4 linked regions of the Oryctolagus cuniculus genome follow. The protein of the gene in region 1 purifies or fractionates together with the protein of each later gene. This does not show direct contact. Links are inferred from orthologs where the notes say so. Each region holds a gene or a part of one and is shown on either strand. Other genes may lie near its edges. The genes, in order: PPM1K, BCKDHA, BCKDHB and DBT.

What was found.
Region 2: the proteins of PPM1K (region 1) and BCKDHA purify together in Homo sapiens (affinity purification with mass spectrometry; 4 studies listed by BioGRID and IntAct, counting the BioPlex papers as one, with this or other methods). This does not show direct contact. The link is inferred for Oryctolagus cuniculus from reciprocal best matches to the Homo sapiens genes PPM1K and BCKDHA.
Region 3: the proteins of PPM1K (region 1) and BCKDHB purify together in Homo sapiens (affinity purification with mass spectrometry; 3 studies listed by BioGRID and IntAct, counting the BioPlex papers as one, with this or other methods). This does not show direct contact. The link is inferred for Oryctolagus cuniculus from reciprocal best matches to the Homo sapiens genes PPM1K and BCKDHB.
Region 4: the proteins of PPM1K (region 1) and DBT purify together in Homo sapiens (affinity purification with mass spectrometry; 4 studies listed by BioGRID and IntAct, counting the BioPlex papers as one, with this or other methods). This does not show direct contact. The link is inferred for Oryctolagus cuniculus from reciprocal best matches to the Homo sapiens genes PPM1K and DBT.

What each region holds. Positions count from the first base shown.
Region 1 is NC_091439.1:77,356,265-77,361,464, reverse strand, and holds part of PPM1K (protein phosphatase Mn(2+)-dependent 1K), read right to left. Parts: intron 3,660-5,200; 5' UTR 3,583-3,659; coding exon 3,143-3,582; intron 1,923-3,142; coding exon 1,822-1,922; intron 1-1,821. UniProt on the Homo sapiens protein: Serine/threonine-protein phosphatase component of macronutrients metabolism.
Region 2 is NC_091449.1:13,103,993-13,109,724, forward strand, and holds the start of BCKDHA (2-oxoisovalerate dehydrogenase subunit alpha, mitochondrial), read right to left. Parts: upstream 3,726-5,732; 5' UTR 3,673-3,725; coding exon 3,574-3,672; intron 3,379-3,573; exon of another isoform or gene 3,356-3,378; intron 1-3,355. Other genes in the region: EXOSC5 (exosome complex component RRP46), read left to right, coding at 4,090-4,321. UniProt on the Homo sapiens protein: Together with BCKDHB forms the heterotetrameric E1 subunit of the mitochondrial branched-chain alpha-ketoacid dehydrogenase (BCKD) complex.
Region 3 is NC_091436.1:92,094,560-92,098,555, forward strand, and holds the end of BCKDHB (2-oxoisovalerate dehydrogenase subunit beta, mitochondrial), read right to left. Parts: intron 2,951-3,996; coding exon 2,810-2,950; 3' UTR 2,802-2,809; intron 1,508-2,801; 3' UTR 1,213-1,507; downstream 1-1,212. UniProt on the Homo sapiens protein: Together with BCKDHA forms the heterotetrameric E1 subunit of the mitochondrial branched-chain alpha-ketoacid dehydrogenase (BCKD) complex.
Region 4 is NC_091438.1:70,077,635-70,082,834, reverse strand, and holds part of DBT (lipoamide acyltransferase component of branched-chain alpha-keto acid dehydrogenase complex, mitochondrial), read right to left. Parts: intron 3,270-5,200; coding exon 3,146-3,269; intron 1-3,145. UniProt on the Homo sapiens protein: The branched-chain alpha-keto dehydrogenase complex catalyzes the overall conversion of alpha-keto acids to acyl-CoA and CO(2).

The sequences.
Region 1 (5,200 bases):
AATGTTTTAATTTCATGTTTAAAAATTATTTTATGATTGATTTCTTTACACAACTGCTTGTGTGTAAAGAACTGTAACTTGTGTGTAAACTGCTTTATGTGACAAAGCCAAATTTAGAAAGTTTAAGATATGCAAGTTAAATAAATTCTCTAGTTCAAAACTCCCTCTCATACCCTACACCAAATCGACCAGTGATTGTTTTAATTATCTCCTGGCTGCACCCATGAAGGGTTAATGTCTTAGATTGTTGGCCACATCCTGACATTCTTGAACATTCTCTTCTGAAAACCTTTGCACTAAGCTGCAGCTGCTTGCAGAACAGCTGGGGCTCAGCACCTGCACTACAGCTCACAGGTGTGAGCTACAGTCCCATTCACAGACAAACTGGTTACAGATGAGATAAGAGCATACCAGAACTCAGAGAGTTACAAAAATGAAACTATCAGAAGGCATTTTGTTTCCTCTTCTCCTTCCTGTGTTTTACTCAAAAACAAAAGCTAAATCTTATGCGTGAAATCCCCCCTTTTTCAACTCCTATCTTCTTAAAGGTGAGGGACCAGATGAGAGGGGAAAAAAGTCCAAAGGAATGGAAGAAAAGAAAAATGGGCCTAACTCACCTACAAACTAAATAAATCCCTGAACAAAACGGGAGGGTGGAGTGTAATGTTTGCTGAGGACTGTGATGATAAGATAAGGTTCTCTTAAAAAAAAAAAAAAAAAAAAAAAGAGAGAAAGAGAGAGAGCAGGAAAACCTCTCAAGATGGTAAGTAGAGGCAGACGTTTTGCCCTTCCCAGATCAGAGTATTTGGGTTTGATTCCCAGCTCTGCTCCTGACTGCAGCTTCCTGCTACTGCAGACCCTGGGAGGCAACAGCATGGCTCAAGTAATTGTTGCTCTTATCATCCATATGGGAAACCTAAAGTGGGTTCCCAGCTGTTGTGGGCATTTGGAGAGTGGCCTAGTGGATGAAAGTTCACTTTTTAGCATGCTCTATTTCTGCTTCTAAAAAAAAAAATTCATGGAAAAACAGATTTAAAAGATAGACTTTTTAAAAATTACTTTAAAAAATGGCAAATAGAGCCATCCTACAATCACAATTCCTCCTCGTTATCAAACATCAATGTGAGAGATCACTTTGGGTGTCAGGAAAATCCCAGCCCTAGCTCTAGCTCTGAACTGATCTTTGACTCTCTTTGAACTTCAATTTCTTGTCTGTGAACTGGGGAAAATTTCTATTCCTGTGCAGTCCAACTGAAAACTGTGAATATGACATTTCTGTAGTGCATTTTTTTTTAAGCTCCTGGCTCCTGATCATCTCCGCTAGGGCCATTGCAGCCATTTGAGGAGTGAATCAGCGCATGGAAGACCCTCTCTCTGTAACTCTTTCAAATAAATAAAATAAATTTCAAAAAAAGAGAGGGCAAAATAGCTTCCTTGTAATTATACAAACTAGTGCATATTAGCCATTGTTCCTTCTTACATGGGATCTTTTAGCACTTTTCTTCTTGTCTGGACATTTAGTGTCCTAGATAAATGTGTTTTCCCTGCAGAGTATTTCAGCAGATGCCTCAAAAACAAAACAAAACAGCCCCAAATCCTCTGGTAGTATGAGTTCTTTTGCATACAGTAAGTAACCAAACATGAAAACTGACATTAGTTTGGATTCCAAACAGCATTCCCAGTGACTATGTAAGAACATTTCTACATAAACTTCCTCACAAGTAAGCATACATTAAAATGCCCACCCCTAAAGGACTTCAATGAATTCTTTTGTACCCTCCTTGACTCCAAGACTCTGAAAAATGTGATTGTTTTACATACCATCAGCAGACAGGTGGGCATGACTCGAAAAGGCTTTATCTATTTCTAGAAAAGCCAAGGTCAACACAGTTTCCAAGTTCTTCTCCTTAGGAAGCAAATCCCTTTGTGGGGAGGAAAAGAGAACCCCAGTCATTTACCATAGGTTTCTCTTGTCACAGTCCCTCTGTCTAGCAAAGTCCCTCAACTCAATGGACCCCAAGAGTTGCCTTTCAGATGCATAAGAGCTACTAGTTAGGGATGTTTATTGAGCTTTTATGGTACCAAATCACAGGCACTGTGATGAGCTTTTAAGAGCACAAAAATTAAAGTCCAGATCTCTATCCTTAAAGAATGAATCTTTATAAAGACCACAATGCTGGAGACACTGAACTCCTTCATATGAAACTTAAACCTCAGAGTTCTTTGTGGAATGAGGTAAAATAGGCACAAATCAACTGATAAACAGTAGTATGCATCAACCTTGCAGTACACAGGAAGGCAAGGAATTACACATAGTCAAAATTCCGTCACATGTTTTCCCCTTGTTTTAATTCTAGCAAGAGTGTGAACCTCAACAATACTAGCTAGAGGTACATAAACTAGTGAAAGTCCTCCAAACACCAGCATTAAATGCACTCTCACCCCCGACTAATGCCAACCATCCAAAGTTACTTTTCAGCAAGTCCAGTATTCAGAGCTAGTCTATGGGCTCTGCATTGATAGGAGTAAATGCTTCTCACAGGTTAGCTGGTGTATAAGGCATTTCAACACGTTCATGCATAAATGGAAGTAAAAGATAAGTTTATTTCAGTACAAAAAATTTTTGAAATGCATGCACAGTTTTTTTCATAATACACATTTTCCATGAACATTGTGGAGACTCCTGGACTTTACGTCCATTCACTCAAAATGATCACGGGTCAAATATTGTAAATTCTGGTCATCAGAATCTACTTTCATCAGGGAATTAAGACATGTATTTTAAAGATTTTTGAGTGTGTGTGTTTATTTTCATCTACTTAAAAGGCTGACAGAAACAGAGAGCTTCTGCTGGTTCGCTCCCTTCTCCCCAAATGTCTGTAACAGGCAGGGTTGTGCCAGGCCAAAGCCAGGAACCCAGAATTCCATCTGGGTCTCCCATGTGTGTGGCAGGAGCCCAAGATTTTGAGTTATCATCCACTGCCTTCCCAGGTACATTAGCAGGAAGCTGGGTCAGCAGCAGAGCAGCCAGCCACAGTGGGTCATAAACCACTGGCCGCACCACCCACCCAAGACACACGTTCTGAGGCAGCAATGATCATCAGTAATGAGTAATGAGTCTCATGAGAGTCATGGTACGTACAGAATACATTTCTCCATGCGGGTGTGGCAGAAATTAGCGGCTGCGGGTCCGCCGTGCCCGTCATACACAGCGAAGTACAGGACCTCATCTGTCAGCTGGGCGAAGTCGAATCGATCTTCATTCTCTTTCCGTTTGCCAATGTGCGAGGCGCAGCCCACGTTTTCCAGGCTGATTTTGGGGATCGGCTTGCCATACTTAATGCTGGGGGGCAGTAGAATTGGCTCGTCAATGCGGTTGTCCCAGATCCCGAAACTGTCCCAGGTGGCCGGACGCCCACTGCCGTCCGGGTCGAATCGAGAACACCTGGGCTCTGAGGTGGAGCTGTGGCAGGTGGCCGGCAGGCGGCGCTCGTCCTGCAGCAGGCGGGAGGTCAGCAGCGCTCTCCTTCTCACCTGGTTCCCGCCACTTCTAACCAAAGTGATTAAGGCAGCTGTTGACATCACTCAGCTGCAGGGGACTCAGTACAGAGGCGGAGGTTGGCAGACAATAGTGGACCGTCTTCAAGAGAATGATGTACCTGGGGAGAAGGAGGGCTTGGTCAGCAATTGTGAGCCAAACTGAATATCAGCACCAAAAACAAGGGCCATCTGGGCCTGACAGGAAATACTTACTATACTTATGTTATGCACTTTGTAGGCACCCAAAAGCCCGATTTTCATAACAATGGATGAAAAATGGCTCCATTTGCCTTATCCATTCACAGTAAAAACAAAAATCTGACAAGGAGCACTTTTGATTGAACCTGTCTCTCCAGCTTAACCTGCCATCATTGGAGGAAAGGAAAGCTGCAGGTGCTTTTTAAAATGCCATCATTGGAGGTGCTTTTTAAAATGCAAATTCTGATTCACTGGATATGAAGTGGATCTTGGGATGCTGGTAATAGGAGCTGCTGATCTTCAGGCCACACTTTGCCTAGCAAGAATATACAACACGGGTAGAAATAAATATTCCTCCTCTCATTAATTCCACTGCTCTGAAAAAAGGTAGGGGCAAATATTAACGATAGCACCAAAGTGCTAAAAATAAAAGGAAAAGTAACTGGTTCACAGAATATTTACAATAGCTTGTACACAGAATAGCCAAGTTTTCGTAAAGACACAATTTAGGATCTGAGTTTTGTTTGACGATTTCTCAACATACTTCATTTTCCATCTGCATGGTTAATGTAAACCGGTTCATGCAAACACACCCATAGGCCAGTTCCTATGCTGCCTTTGTGGGAGACACTCTCATGGAGAGGGCTGGGTGCAGAGGTCTCAGGAAACGGTGTCACTGCATTTGTGACAAACAACTGAGGTTTAAGCAGATGAACCATGCATTTTCTCTGCACCTGCAGCTTTCCTTTCCCCCAATTCTAGCAGCACACCCACACCTGAAACTGTGTGTCTTTAAAATTATTACCTGGCACCCCTACTTGTAGACTCTTCTCTCAAGCTCAACCCTAAGGACTCTCTTGGCATTACAGAATGTATCAGGGAAAAGTCCCACACTCTTGCAGGAAGAGCTGTCTTTCTGGCAATTTCCATACAAACAAGGTTCTAAGCAGAAATTAATCTCAATAGTACTTTGTTCCATTATTTATGAGTTAGGAATCAACTTGCCATAATGGTATAATATTAAGATTTGATAATGCTGGTGGAGGGAATACAGGTGCTATATTATTCCCAATTGTAGGTTTGGATTATTTCACAATAAAAAAGAGAACTTGGTAAAAAGAGGGTATCAAAGAAGTATAAACACACACATATAAAACTCAGTTTGAGGGCATTTGTGAGAAAATGCATTAAAGATTTCAAACAATTGCTTGTAAGTGAACTTTGGAAACCAGGCTAGGTTCCCATAGAAAGGCCTTACTGCTTTCAAGAGAAAGGAAGAGGTTCCAAAAGAGAACATCCTTAGATATTTAAGCAAGGAAAAATGCATGAGCTCTGCCTTCATAGGATTTAGAATAAAAATGGCCATAAAGATGGTTATCATCTGTATAAAAAGGAAATTCACTTCCTTTTATGACAAAATTGGAGTAGGGGAGGAGAGAGAGCATCTCTAGTTAATGAGAAG
Region 2 (5,732 bases), on another chromosome or scaffold:
GGGGAGGGGAGGGGGAGAGGGAGAGGGAGAGGTCTTCCATCTGATGGTTCACTCCCCAGATAGCTGCAATGGCTGGAGCTGTGCCAATCTGGAGCCGGGAGCTTCTTCTGGGTCTCCCATGTGAGTGCAGGGACCCAAGGACTTGGGCCATCTTCTACTGCCTTCCCAGGCCTTAGCAGAGAGCTGGACAGGAAGTGGAGCAGCCAGGTCTCGAACAGGTGCCCACACTTCAGGGCTGGGCTTTAACCCACTGCGCCACAGTGCCGGACCCAGCTACTCCACTTCTGATACAGCTTCCTGCTAATGCGCCTGGGAAACAAGTGGAGAATGGCCCAAGTGCTTGGGCCCTGCCACCATGTGGGAAACCCAGATGGAGCTCCAGGCTCCTGGCTTCAGCCTGGCCCAGCCCTGCCCATTACAGCCATTTGGGGAGAGATCCAGCAGATGGAAGATCTCTCTAACTCTACCTTTCAAATAAATCTCTTTAAAGAAGAAGGGCCGGTGCAGTGGGGTAGCAGGTTAAGTCACCACACACAGTGCTTGCATCCCACGTGGGCATGGGTTCGAGTCCCAGCTGCTCTGCTTCTGATGCAGCTCCCTGCTAATCCCTGGGAAAGCAGCAGAAGATGGCCTAAATATTTGGGCCTCTGCACCCACGTGGGAGACCCAGAAGAAGCTTCTGGTTCCTGGCTTTGAATCAGCCCAGTTCATGACCCTGTGGCCATGTAGGGAGTGAACCAGCAGATGGAATATATCTCTCTGTCTCTCCCTCTATATATAACTCTGCCTTTCAAATCAATAAAACAAATATTTTTTTTTTTAAATAAGGAAGTTAGTTAGTTCTACTGGACAACCCTGGCCTAGAATCTTCTTTAACTAAAGCTATGGCTCCAGGCTGGTGCTGTGGCATAGTAGCCTCTGCCTGCAGCACTGGCGTCACATATAAGCCCCGGTTCCTGTCCTGGCTGTCCTCTTCCAATCCAGCTCCCCGTTAATGGCCTGGGAAAGCAGTGGAAGATGCCCAACTGCTTGGGCCCCTGCATCCAGGGTGGGGTGGGGACTTGGAAAAAGCTCCTGGCTTTGGACTGGCCCAGCTCCGGCCATTGCAGTCATCTGGGGAGTGAACCAGCAGATGAAAGACCTCTCTGTCTCTCCCTCTCTTGGTCTATAGCTCTCTCTCTCAAATAAAATCTTGGGGCTGACGCTGTGGTGTAGCAGGTAAAACCGCCCTCTACAGTGCCAGCATCCCATATGGGCACCAGTTCAAGTCCCGGCTTCTCCACTTCCGATCCAGCTCTCTGCTATGGCCTGGGAAAGCAGTAGAGGATGGTCCAAGTCCTTGGGCCCCTGCACCTCATGGGAGACCTGGAGGAAGCTCCGGGTTCCTGGCTTCGGATTGGCGCAACTCCGGCCGTTCAGGACAAGTGGGGATGAGACAGCGGATGGAAGATCTCTCTCTCTCTCTGCCTCTCCTTCTCTCTGTGTAACTCTGACTTCCAAATAAATAAATATATATTCAAAATAAATAAATAAAATCTTGTAAAAAAGAAATGCTATGTCCCTTCTCTACACTAAAAAAGTGGAGCCTCTTTTTAAAATCTTAGGTGGCAAAAATACAGGTGGGAGACAGTGACTCTAAGAAAATATAAATTGGGGCCAGCGCTGTGGCGTAGCAGGTAAAGCCACTGCCTGCAACGCCGGCATCCCATATGGGCGCCACTTTGAGTCCCGGCTGCTCCACTTCCCATCCAGCTCTCTGCTATGGCCTGGGAAAGCAGTGGAGGATGGCCCAAGTGCTTGGGAGACCTGGAAGTTCCTGGCTCCTGCCTTCGAATTGGTGCAGCTCCAGCTGTTTTGGCCATTTGGGGAGTGAACAAGCGGATGAAAGACCTCTCTCTTTCTGCCTCTGCCTAATAAATAAATAGATCCTTTAAAAAAAAAAAAAAAGAAAATATAAATCAAGATATACATAAACAGGGCCAGCATTGTGGTATAGCAGGTAAAGCCGCAACCTGTGACACCAGCATCTCACTTTCCCAGCTGCAGCACCTCAGATCCGGCTCCCTGCTACTGCGCCTGGGAAAGCAGTGGAGGGTGGCCCAAGTGCTTGGGCCTGCACCCGCAGGGGAGACCTGGAGGAAGCTCCTGGTTCCTGGCTTCAGCCAGGCCCAGCCCCAGCCCCAACCATTGCAGCCATCTGCGATGTGAACCAGCAGAAGGAAGATCTTATCTTTCTCTCTCTACCGGACTTTCAAATAAATACATCTTTAGAAACTTAACTAAGTAAACATATATAAATAAAAGTATGAGTATCCGTCCCCCCCCCAAAAAAAAATGAAGGCAGGCAGGCAACAAGGAGACTGAGCCAACAGAAACAGGTTTAATCAGACACAAACGACCTTCCCCTGGCCTGCCCCAGTCTGCCCACCTCCCACCCGACTTGCCCAGCCAGTGGGCTCTCGGGAATGAGGTCAACGGTAGAGGCTCTGACTGCTTTAAAAAAAAAAAAAAAAAAAAAAACACTACAAGAGAACAGCCCCAAGGCAGAAGGCTGCCCCGCCCCCTGCACCTGCGCCTCCTCGGCCTCTACCTGCTTCAGGTGATTCTCTTCCAAGCATTCACACCCTTCTTCCCTCCTTTCTATCAGAGATTCCCCCTACGGTTTCCCCTCCCTGCCTCACACACTGGGGCTCAGACCCAACCCCACAGTTCAAGCCACCTCCTTTCCGCTCCCCTCGCCAAGGTCGCGCCCCGACACTCCTGTTGCAGGGCTGGTTCTCACACCTCGCGTGTTTTCACAACCACCCCCTAAGGGTTCACCGAGGGGCACGGCAGGGCTGTGAGCCCCCCGGGCTGTAGCTCAGGCCCTTCCCTGGTCCACGTCAGCCCCTCTCCCCACCAGAGGGTCCGCGGGGCGACTTTACCCCAAGCGGCTTCTACCAGAAGGCCCTCGGACCCTTTGGACAAGAAATAAAAATTCCTCAAGGATTTTCGAGAAATGTGGGCAGATGCCCCGGCCGGTCCTCTCCTCCCTCGTAAATTCAACAAATACTTATGGCTGCCCTCCTCGGTAGCGTCCCAAGCACAGTCAAGTCCCTGCCTGCCGACGTCCCCTCAGGGCACGCAGGAGTCCATGGCTTCCTCCCACGACTCGTCTTAAACCGAGAACTGAGGCGAAGGAGCAAAGAAATGAAGACCCCATACAAGCCCGCGACTGGACCGCATTCCTCCTTTCTCGGCTTGGACGAGAACGTCCATCCACAAGAAACTCTCCCCTGGCCACGTCAGTCCGTTCTCCAGCCCCTGAGGGACACGGTCTCGCCGTCCCCGCGCCCCGCCGAGCGAGAAGACCTACCCTTACGCCTCCCTCAGAGCCCGCAGAGGGGCGACCTCGCCTTTCCCCTCCTCAGTGGAAGCTCCTCCCTCGCGAGGCCCCTCCGCGCGCTCTCCCAATCCTTTTTCGCTTCCTTGATTGCCAGCCCTTGCTGCATACCCTGCAGGTGACGCTCCGAAGAGGGTCTTTACGGCCCTATTACTCCTTAGGGAAAACTTCCAGGGGCCCCAAGTACTCACGGATCTAGTCAGCCCCCGCGCCCCAAGCTGCCGCAGCAACAGGGGCACAGCCTGGCGCCTAGGCCCCCAGACCCTCGCCGCGGAAATCGCTAACGCCATCTTGACTTACAACCCACTCGGCGACCCGCCCCCTCCTTTAACCTAGACCGGGGGCTGCCCTTTCATGAGCCTGATTCAATTGCCAGCACCACTGTGACATAGAACACCTGCTTCCAGTCCCACTTACGCCAGTACGCGTAAATGTGTGAGGAAGGTGAATTATTTTTTCCAAAATTACTCAGATAGCCCCGTTGTAGTTGATCATGTAAACAGGCAAAGAAGAGGGCAACCTTATCAGGACGCCCGAGGTTTAAGGCCCGGGGGCCTTGGGTAGGACGAGCCCGTGCCAAAGCCCGCCCCCTTTCCTCTATTGTCCAATGGCTTTGCCTTAGTGGGGAGGCGGGGAGCGGACGGAGTCATATTTGTTTGTAAACCCTAACCCACGTGCGCGCGCCCAGTTAGCCAGCGGACCCACGCATGCGCACTGGGTACGCAACTTGCGCGCAAGCGCACTCTGCTGGGCGGAAGCGACGGTCCGGCCTGCACGTGGGCTCTGGGACTATGGAGGGGGTGGTGGCTGCTGGCGCCAATGCCCACGCTGACACTGGGACAGAGTGTCGCTCTCGGGGCCCTGGCTGCAGCCTCCGGCACTTTGCTTGCGAACAGAACCTGCTGTCCAGGCCGGATGGCTCTGCTTCTTTCCTGCAAGGTAAGAACTTAACCCAGGTGCGTACCGCCCCGGTCACGTTCACCCATTTGGTGTTTGTGTGGGAGAGCGGGCTATGGAACACTGAGGCCGACCTCGCCGCTATGCGAGCTGGCCCCTGCCTCTCCTTCACTGCCGCGGAACGTATTGCTCGGGTGGATACTACCGGATCCACCGCATACACACGTCCCCCTCCAGACCGGGAGGGAGCGCTCTCTACCCCCGCAAGAATGACTTCCAGAATTCGGAAGGTCTTATCCGGGTAAATCACCTCCGTTTACTAGATCCGCGCCCCTCTCAGCCTGTTTGCATAAATGCCGCGTAGAGTAGGCGGGTCATCGCCGTGGGTTTAATTCCTCCCTAGAGCGGGGCACATATTACCCCCCAAGTATAGTATAGATGACGCCCTCACCTTTGACAGGTACTCCCCTACTCCCACCCCACCAAGTGAGCGAATATCCGCATCTTTCCATGCGAGTAAATGAGCGTAGACAGAAAAGAGAAGAGGTCCCAGCACTAACCCCCGGGCCCCCCCAACTTTGAGAGCTCCCGGAAGTGTGAAGAGCTCGCCCAGCGGCAGGTGCGGCAGGGGACGAATCAGGAGACGGAGGTGTCCCGGAGGCGAGAGGAAGGGTGTGAGATGAAAGGGCCGCCCAGTTGTTCCGGTCTGAAAGGGGGGCTGATCTCGGGAGGGTTGAGCCGCTGGGGGTCCTTGGTGAAGCTCCAGGCTGCGGCAGCGGAGTGGTGGGGCCGGGAGGGGAGGAAGAAGAGACGTGAGTGGAGACTGCTCTCAAGGACTGCTTCTGTGAGAAGGGCTGGGAGTGGGGCAGCAGTTGGTGATGGATGCGGGGTGGAGAGAAGAGACTTGGCAGAGCCGTGGCCTGGAAGCCGGGAGTGGAGGGAGGCCGGTCCGTGTACCGGTGGGACAGGCAGGAGTGAAGACCCCAGCAAGGACCTGGTTCCGCTCAGGTGCCTCCTCCGGGTGGACAGATTCTCCCCGAACTAAGAGCACCCCGGGGTGAGGGCAAACTGGGTCTCCCAGGAGCAGAACCCCCCCCCCCCGGTTGTCTCTTCCCTGGAGACTTGCCCAGCCCTCCTCCAGCTTGGCTGTCTTGCTGAGGTGTTTTAGAACACAAGAAATAAGGAGAAAGGTAGCCTTTCCCACGGTCTGAAACCCCAGAGCAGGGTGGGAGCTGTGATGCAGCCGGTTAAGCTGCTGGCCTGGCTGGCGTCTCATGAGTGCCCGTTTGAGCCCTGGCTGCTCTGCCTCTGATCCAGCTCCTTGCTAATGCACCTGGAAGGGCAACAGGGTGGTGGCCCAAGTGCGGCCCCTGCCAACCACATGGGAGACCCAGATGGAGTTCCAGGCTCCTTGCTTGAGCCTCGACCAGTCCTGTCTGATGCAGGCATTTGA
Region 3 (3,996 bases), on another chromosome or scaffold:
TGATCAGAGTCGGTGAACTCAAAAGGCTTCCATAGCCTTGGAAACTCATGACAAGAGCCTAGGGTGATTACTGAGGCCATTAACAAGAGTGTCAATTTGTTAAGTCAACAACAGGAGTCACTGTGCACTTACTCCTCATGTAGGATCTCTGTCCTTAATGTGCTGTACATTGTGATTTAATGCTATAACTAGTACTCAAACAGTATTTTTCACTTTGTGTTTCTATGTGGGTGCAAATTGTTGAAATCTTTACTTAATGTATGCTAAATGATCTTCTGTATATAAAGAGAATTGAAAATTAATCTTGATGTGAATGGAAAGGGAGAGGGAGCAGGAAAGGGGAGGGTTGCGGGTGGGAGGGAAGTCATGGGGGGGGGGAGCCATTGTAATCCATAAGCTGTACTTTGGAAATTTATATTCATTAAATAAAAGTTAAAAAAATAAAAAAAAATCACTTGCCATGTAGTTATAGATATTGCTTCACTGAATCATAGGATATAGGATTTAAATGACAATATGCTCTTATTTAACACACTCCAAAAAAAAATAAAGGGAGAGAGAAGTAGAGTGAGAACTTGGGGTACTTAGTAATACTTTGGTTTTTTTTTTTTTAAGATTTATTTATTTATTTGAGAGTCAGAGTTACAGAGAGAAGGAGAGGCAGAGAGAGAGAGAGAGAGAGAGAGAGAGAGAGAGAGAGGTCTTCCATTTGATGGTTCACTCCCCAACGGGCCACAACAGCTGGAGCTTTGCTGATCCAAAGCCAGGAGCCAGGAACTGCTTCCGGGTCTCCCACGCAGGTGCAAGGGCCCAAGGACTTGGGCCATCTCCTACTGCTTTCCCAGGCCATAGCAGAGAGCTGGATTGGAAGTGGAGCAACCGGGTCTCGAACCGGCAGCCATATGGGATGAACTTCAGGCCAGGGCGTTAACTCGCTGCGCCACAGCGCCGGCCCCTACTTTGTTTTTAATTTGGGGGTTGGTTATGAGTGTGACTGGATGACAAAAACTCATTGATCTTTACACTTATATCCATTTCTTGGTATGTATACTGTATTTTAACAAAATGTTTAATAAACAAATTATTTGTTAATAAGAAAAATCAGCATTTGTAAAGTAAATGTTTCACTTTAACACAAATCTAACAAATTAGCAATCTATTGTTCTGTAATAAAAATTGTTTTACTAGTGGACAAATGACACACACACAAACTGAGGACAACCTGATTTTTGTTTTATTGAATACCATCTCACATTCAGTAATTATAGGTGGCACTACACCGAATTTAAAAGACCATCATTTGAAACATTTTAAAATGTTAATCTGAAACACACTTAATGGAAATCATCGATTCATGTGTTATACAATAATTAATTTATAACTTCTTGGCCAATATCCACAATGATTCATTTCATAAAATCTCTTTTTTCAAGAATGGATAAATCTGAGGAAATATAAAAAATTTCAGAAAAATATTTCCATATCTAGTCACAATCTTCCAGTTTCCCTGTAAAAGAAATTGGTAACAATTACATGCATTCTGAACTGCATGGATAACTAGTTTCTTTAATATCCTCTTCAACTTCTGCATACAAAAGTTACTGTTTTTATTATATTTTCAGTAGAGGTTTCAATGTTTTTCTAATGGTTAAGAAAAAATACACCATACAAATGTAATACCAGTATCTAAATCTGACTTTAAAAATAGCAACGAGGCACATGGCTGCAATTATTACCTCGACTCTCCATTGCAGATGGTCCATGGAACAACAGCGTGGACAACGAAAGCCAAGAAGTCCACATAAGCTGGCCTGAGTATAATTTATTGTAGAAGCCAGCAGCTTTCACAGACATTGAGAAGAGATTAGAAATCAGCATCTACATCTGCATGGCTGAGAGCTTACCAGGGGTATGTGGACTAATGAGCCCTGGTTCATACCCATACCAGCGTCAGAATAGAACCACTAACACTGCAGGCGTATGGCAGCACAGAAGCCAGAGAGGAGAGGGGTACTATTTTCTCTTTCTGTACATTTGTAAAGCGTCTCTCTCTGGTTTCAGGTACTAGCTTTGGAATCCATACGCGGAATCCAAGAATTACAGCATTTCTTATCTTTAAAACACTTAGTATGCACCATTATATGGAGATCATTATTCTTTTGTCTTTGAAAAATCTTGCTTCTCCAATATAATTATTATTTTTGGAAAATATAGATGTTAAAATATAAAGTATCTATCAATTCATTTTTGATATGAGCCCTAATTAGTGATGTTTAAGGGACCATTTTTAAATAATATAAATTACTTTTATTCATGAGCACTTTAAATAGTTGAAAAAATATCCATAAATGAAGGCAAAAGGAGGAGCTGTGCTGTAAGGTATGTCTGCAATCTAAACCCTGGCAGAGAGCATCTTTATCTAATGACTAGCATACATATGTTTCTGTTTTCTAGAAATCACATAAAGCAGATTTGTGCTAGGTTTCTAGCAAGTGTAAACACACTAGTATAAATTTGAATTATTTTCTGAAGTACACAGTTTGTTATGAAAGTTGCAGATTACCAAAAGTCAAAGGTACTTCAAAAGTTCATGGAAAATGGAATTAAAGGTAAGTTTATTTTGGTATAAAAAAAAAAACCTTTGAAACCCATGCACAGTTGTGTCATTAAATAGGCATTTTCTGTGAGCTTTATGAAGAAGCCTCTGACAGCACACTGGTGATTGCTAGTCCTTGGTGTACAGCACATTAATGTCAATGACACACATTAGTTTGCACAAAATGCAGAGCATACTTACTTACCTATTTGGTCAATAGTTGATCATTTTTCGAAGGGCATCATAGCACTTCCATTTGTCTGGGATATAGAATGGCTCAAAAATGTGAGGAAATGGTGTGTCATACCCACATACTCTAGATATAGGAGCCTCTAGATTCAAGAAACATTCTTCCTGCAGAAAAGAATCAAGATGGTCAATTTCAATTCTACTTTCTCCTGGCTGAATTCTTTATTTAGTAGAGGGTTAAGCTTGTGATTGTAAAATAAACTAAAGTATGTTATTGTAAAAATTACAAGTAAAAAGAAAGGAAGAGGAGGGAGGGTAGAAGCATGGGTGGGAGAGAGGGTCAGGTGGGACGTATCATGATGCTCTTAAATCTATATATTTGAAATTTGTTCATCTCATACAATTAAAATTTTTTAAAGAATATTTCCTTGTTTTTCCCAAAGAAACCTTTTATTTAAGGAATATAAACTTCATGCATTCATAAGTACAATATTAGGAATATAGTGATTCTTCCCACCATACCTACCCTCCCACACACTCCCACTCCTCCACACCTCCCTCTCCCATTCCCAGTCCCATTCTCCACTAAGATCCACTTTTGATTAACTGTATACACAGAAGACCAACTATACACTAAGTAAAGACTTCAACAATTTGCAAAAAGCAAAACAAAACAAAACCCTTTTCCTCAATAGTCAAGACAAGGGCTGTTCAGAGTCATTGCATTTTGAAGTTAATTTCACTTCTTTTTTTTCTTAGAAACGTAATTAACTTTAAGAAGCACCCAAGAATGATACATCTTATGCAAGCACTTAGACATAATTATAATACAACTCTTTGAGGACAGAGGTCCTGCATGGGAAGTTAGTACACAGTGGCTCCTGTTGTTAATTTAACAATTAACACTTATCTATGATGTCAGTGATCACCCAAGGCTCTTGACATGAGCTGCCTAGGCTATGGAAGCCTTTTGAATTCACAAACTCCATCAGTATTTAGACAAGGCCATAAGCAAAGCGGAAGTTCTCTCCTCCCTTCAGAGAAAAGTACCTCCCTCTTTGATGACCACTTCTTTCTACTGGAGTCTCACCCACCCAAGTCCTTCAAGTAGGACACTTTTTGCCACATTATCTTGGCTTTCCATGCCTAAAATGTTGTCATGGGCTTTTCAGCCAGACCAGAATGCCTTAAGGGCAATTCTGAGGTCAGAG
Region 4 (5,200 bases), on another chromosome or scaffold:
AAAAGGATAAGACAAATTTAAGAAACATAAGAAGGTAGTTCATAAAGTTTGTGGAAAATGGACTGAACAGATAAGGCTGTTTTGGTGCCACAATTTTTGAAACTGATGCATGATTTTTGATAATGCACAATTTCCGTGAACTTCTAGAAGATCCCTTGTATGAAATGTAAAATTGATCAGGTTTTGGTAAACAATATGATGTGAGAGAGGAGTCACGCTGACTACAGGTTTCCAGCTTGACTCATTGATTTAAGCAATACAGGAAGAAGAGGAAATTTGTATAAAACTGAGTTTGAGGAGTTTGAGTTATACATGCGATATTGAAATGGAGATACATAGCAACAATTGGTGAGGTCTGAGAGCTACAGATTCAGAACGTTCAATATGTAGTAGGTGAAGGTATATCTGTAAAAGTGACACAAGAAGATGGGAGGGCCAAGGATAGGATCCTACAAAAGACTGAAATTTAGGAGAGAAACAGGGGCCTGGGTTGTGCAACATGTTGGGCCACCACTTGCAACACTGGCATCCCACATCAGACTGCTAGTTCAAGCCCCAGCTACTCTTTTTTTTATCCAGCTTACTGCTAACCTGCCTGGGAAGGTGGCAAAAGATGGCCCAAGTACTTGGGCCCCTGTCAAGTATGTGGGAGACTAGGATGGATTTCTTGGCTCCTGGTTTCAGCCTGGCCGAGATTGGCTGTTGAGATCATTTGGGAAGTGAACCAGACGATATAAGATCCCTCTTCTCTGTCTCTCCTCCCTCTCTGTTGCTCTTTCAAATAAATAAATCTTTTTTTAAAAAAGAGGGAAAAACACACAAGATGAAGAATGATCAAGGCTGGCATTGATGCAATGGGTCAAGCTGTTGCCTGCAATGCCAATTTGAGTTTCAGCTGCTCTACTTCCAATCTAGCTCCTTGCTAAGGCACCTAGGAAAGCAGCAGCAGAACACTTAAGTGCTTGGTTGGGCTCTTGCTACCCATGTGGGAGACCTGAATGGTGTTCCAGGCTCCTGGCTGTGGCCTGGACTATAGTTGGCTGTTGTAGCCATCTGGAGAGTGAACCAATAGATTGAAGATTTTTGCTCTCTCTGTAACTGTGCCTTTCAAATAAATAAATCAATCTTAAAAAAACAGGAATCTTTAAAAAAAAGAAATCAAAACAGTGATCAGTGTTGAGCACTGGAGCCAGGACAACGAGAGAGAGAGAGAGAGAATATGAGTGTCTAGAGGAAGTATGTACTAAATACTTCACATATTTTAATTTATTTAATCCACCCAGGTATAAGGATCTTTGTTTTGATTATTGATATATCCCAGCTACCTCAACTACTGCCTTGGCACATAGCAGGCGATCAATAAGTATCTGTTGTTGAATGAATAAATTCTTATTATACAATGAGCTAAATATTATGAATGCTTCCATTTTGAAAATGATGAAACTGAGAAAACTTAAATAACTTGCTCAGTTACACAGCTAGAAACTGGCAAACCAGGAACCCAAGTAGCCTGGAATTAGTGGATCCAGGAACTCAAAGGTCATGATAAATGATCAGAGGCTGTAGAAGGAAGCTGGAGTTTCTGTTTGAATAGCTTCTAGCCCAACAACAACAACAACAAAATTAACTTTTAAAAAATACAGATATTTTTTAAAAAAAGTGAAAATAAGGTTTACATGCCTTAGGCTGAGGTAAAGGAAGGCAGATAAAAAACATGGAGGGGCCAGCTCTGCGGCATAGCAGGTAAAGCTGCCACCTGCAGTGTTGGCAGCCTATGTGGGCACCAGCTCGAGACCCAGCTGTTCCACTTCTAATCCAGTTATTCAGTTCTCTGCTGTGGCCTGGGAAAGCAGTTGAAGATGGCCCAAGTGCTTGGGCCCCTGCACCCATGTGGGAGACCCAGGAAGAAGCACCTGGCTCCTGGCTTCAGAATGGCCCAATTCCAGTTATTGCAGCCATTTGGGGAGTGAACCAGCGGATGGAAGACCTGTCTCTCTGTCTCTGTCTCTGTCTCTCTCTCTCTCTGTAATTCTGCCTTTCAATAAGTAAATAAATCTTAAAAAAAAAAAAAAAAAAGCATGGAGGGGCTGGCACTGTGGCAAAGCAGATAAAGCCACCACCTGCAGTGCCGGCATCCCATATGGGCACCGATTTAAGACCTGGCTGCTCCACTTCTGATCCAGCTCTCTGCTATGGCCTGGGAAAGCAGTACAAGATGGCCCAAGTCCTTGGGCCTCTGAACCCATGTGGGAGACCTGGAAGAAGCTCCTGGCTCCTGGCTTCAGATTGGCACAGCTCTGGCTGTTGCAGCCAATTTGGAGGTGAACCAGCAGATGGAAGACCTCTCTTTCTCTCTGCCTCTTCTTCTCTCTCTGTGTAACTCTGACTTTCAAAAAAATAAATAAATCTTAAAAAAAAAAAAAAAGCATGGAGAAATTGAACTCAAGGGTGATATCTGCACGGAATTCCCTATTTTTCCCTGTGAGCACAGAGTAAGGCCCTATTATCTGTCCAAAGCTTAGCCATATAACAGAAGTCTAGGGTCCTTTATCAGGGTTTTAAACAGAACATCAGAAAAAAATGTTCTTATGCCCTTGCCAAATCAATCTTCAAGTTCTTTATAGAGAGTAGAAAAAGTTGGGCAAAAGGTAAGTAAAGCATAATAGCAGGAAACTTTCTGTTCAGGAGTGTTTAAGACTGGTTTCATCAGACCATGTTAAAATCACAGATTAAGTGCTTCATTCACCAAACAATACCATGGTGTGTACAATGACACAAAGACACTTCTATTAAGTCTATGATTTATGTTGACTGAGAAGGTCATATCAATGCTAACTATTGCATTTAGATGAGTCAGATGATAAAGAATAGATGGCCCAACACAACCCAATTCTAACATTATGAAGACACAAGTATTAAGAAAAGTATGTGAAAGGTGACAGGGGAAGGAGAAGTTAGGGGCTGGGAGTGTAGGAGTGGAGGCAAGAAAAAAGAAAATGGGTAATGGATAGACATGGAGAGAGTCAGGGCAGAAGTACGTGGGGTTCAGGGCCAGCATTTTTTACTTTGATGAATCTTTGATTACTAAGTACTGAATAAGATATAACACATTACTTTATATATGTTATCTTGAGATCATACTTACCAGCGGTCGTTTTCAGCAAGTGATGTGGATGACTGTAGTTGAATGAAGGATAACCGAAGAAATACACACATTTTGGCTTCAAAACATGAACAATACCACGTGTTTGAAAAGAGCGAACACAAATCTACAGGTGAGAAAACAAAATGTAAAAGTATTTATAAATGAACTTATGGATTATTTAAGTATGTATTGAATTTCAATTCCATTATTTAGTAAGACAATTGCTAACACAATATAAATATGAAATTACCTAAGCCAAAACCAGAATACTTCGTAGCAATGACAATTTATGAAGTATATGACAGTTTCTGAAGTATGGTATCTATATTTCTAAGAAGTCAAAGAAATTCAAACCCTAGCCTACACAGAACATTTTGTTATTCTTTTGTTTGTAATACTGTAACTTCAGAGTCAAATTTGTTCATATGTTTGTGATCCTTGACCAAAATTCCTTATGAAAGTGTTTTTAACAATATGTTCTGTATAAACAAACACACCAGCCCATATCTTAAGCAATTAGACTTCCTGAAATACAACTAAAAAACTCTGAAGTAACTGTTAGCAAGTGAAGATACTAGAAAACATGTATAATTTCTACTCAGATTTTTTGTATCATACTTTATAGTAGACTCTTTAGATTTAACTATTTTATATGATACTTTAGCATAATGTAATGCTATAGAAATGAGTGGTCCTGAATGTATTCAAGTCTATATTAAAATCTAACTACTTAAAAACTACAGTATCATATCTTGAAAGTTAAAATTCACTGTTGCTAATATTAATACCTGATTAGCTAAATCATACTTTTAACAAAAACTATAGAAATTCCTAACCTTCTGGTATGTATTTGAAATTCTTTCATTTATTCAGGAGACAGTCACTTTTACTTTACCAAAAAGGGTATCAGGGGCTGGTGTTGAGACGTAGGGTAAAGCTGCTGCCTGCAACGCCAGCATCCCACATGGGTGCCAGTTCATGTCCTGGCTGCTGCACTTCTGATCCAGCTCCCTGCTAACGGCTTGGGAAAACAGCAGAAGATGGCCACCCACCACCCACAAGGGAGACTGATGAAGCTCCTGGCTTGGCCTGGCTCAATACTGGCCATTGCAGCCACTTGAGGAGTGAACCAGCAGACGGAAGACTTTGCTCTGTCTCTCCCTCTCTCTTCTGTAACTCTTTCAAATAAATAAATAAATCTTTAAAAAAAAAACAAAAACAAGAATTACCCAAACACACAAATAAGTTTATCAGTACATTAGTGGCAATTAGTCCTTAAATTCTAAAGTTATACTACATTATAATATACATTATATATTCTAGTTACATTTAATACATATTCATAAATATGAATTTTTATGATGGTAAATAATATAAAACAAAAAATTTGGTTAATGTATAGGAACAATACATTTAAACAACTGATTTCTCACTGAATTTCTAAATTGTTATACTTTAAAAAAAAGGCTTGTAGCTTTTAAATAAATTATTTATTTTTTTTTTTTTTGACAGGCAGAGTAGATAGAGAGAGAGAGAGACAGAGAGAAAGGTCTTCCTTTTTCCATTGGTTCACCCCCCAATGGCTGCTGCGGCTGGCGCACCGTGTTGATCCGATGGCAGGAACCAGGTGCTTCTCCTGGTCTCCAGTGCGGGTACAGGGCCCAAGCACTTGGGCCATCCTCCACTGCACTCCCAGGCCATAGCAGAGAGCTGGACTGGAAGAGGGGCAACCGGGACAGAATCCGGCGCCCCGACCGGGACTAGAACCCCGTGTGCCGGTGCCGCAAGGCAGAGGATTAGCCTATTGAGCCACGGCGCCGGCCCTTTTAAATAAATTTTTAAAATTACTTATCTTTCAGTTTTTATTTGAAAGGAAGAGACACACATAGAAAGAGAAGGGTGGAGAGTGAGAGAGGTAAAGAGTGACAGAGAGACAGAGAGTTAACAAGCAAGCTCTTCCATCTGCTAGTTCACTCTCAAATGCCTGCAACAGCCAGGGCTGAGCCAGGCTGAAGCCAGGAGCCTGGAGTTCAATCTGGGTCTCCCATGTGGGTG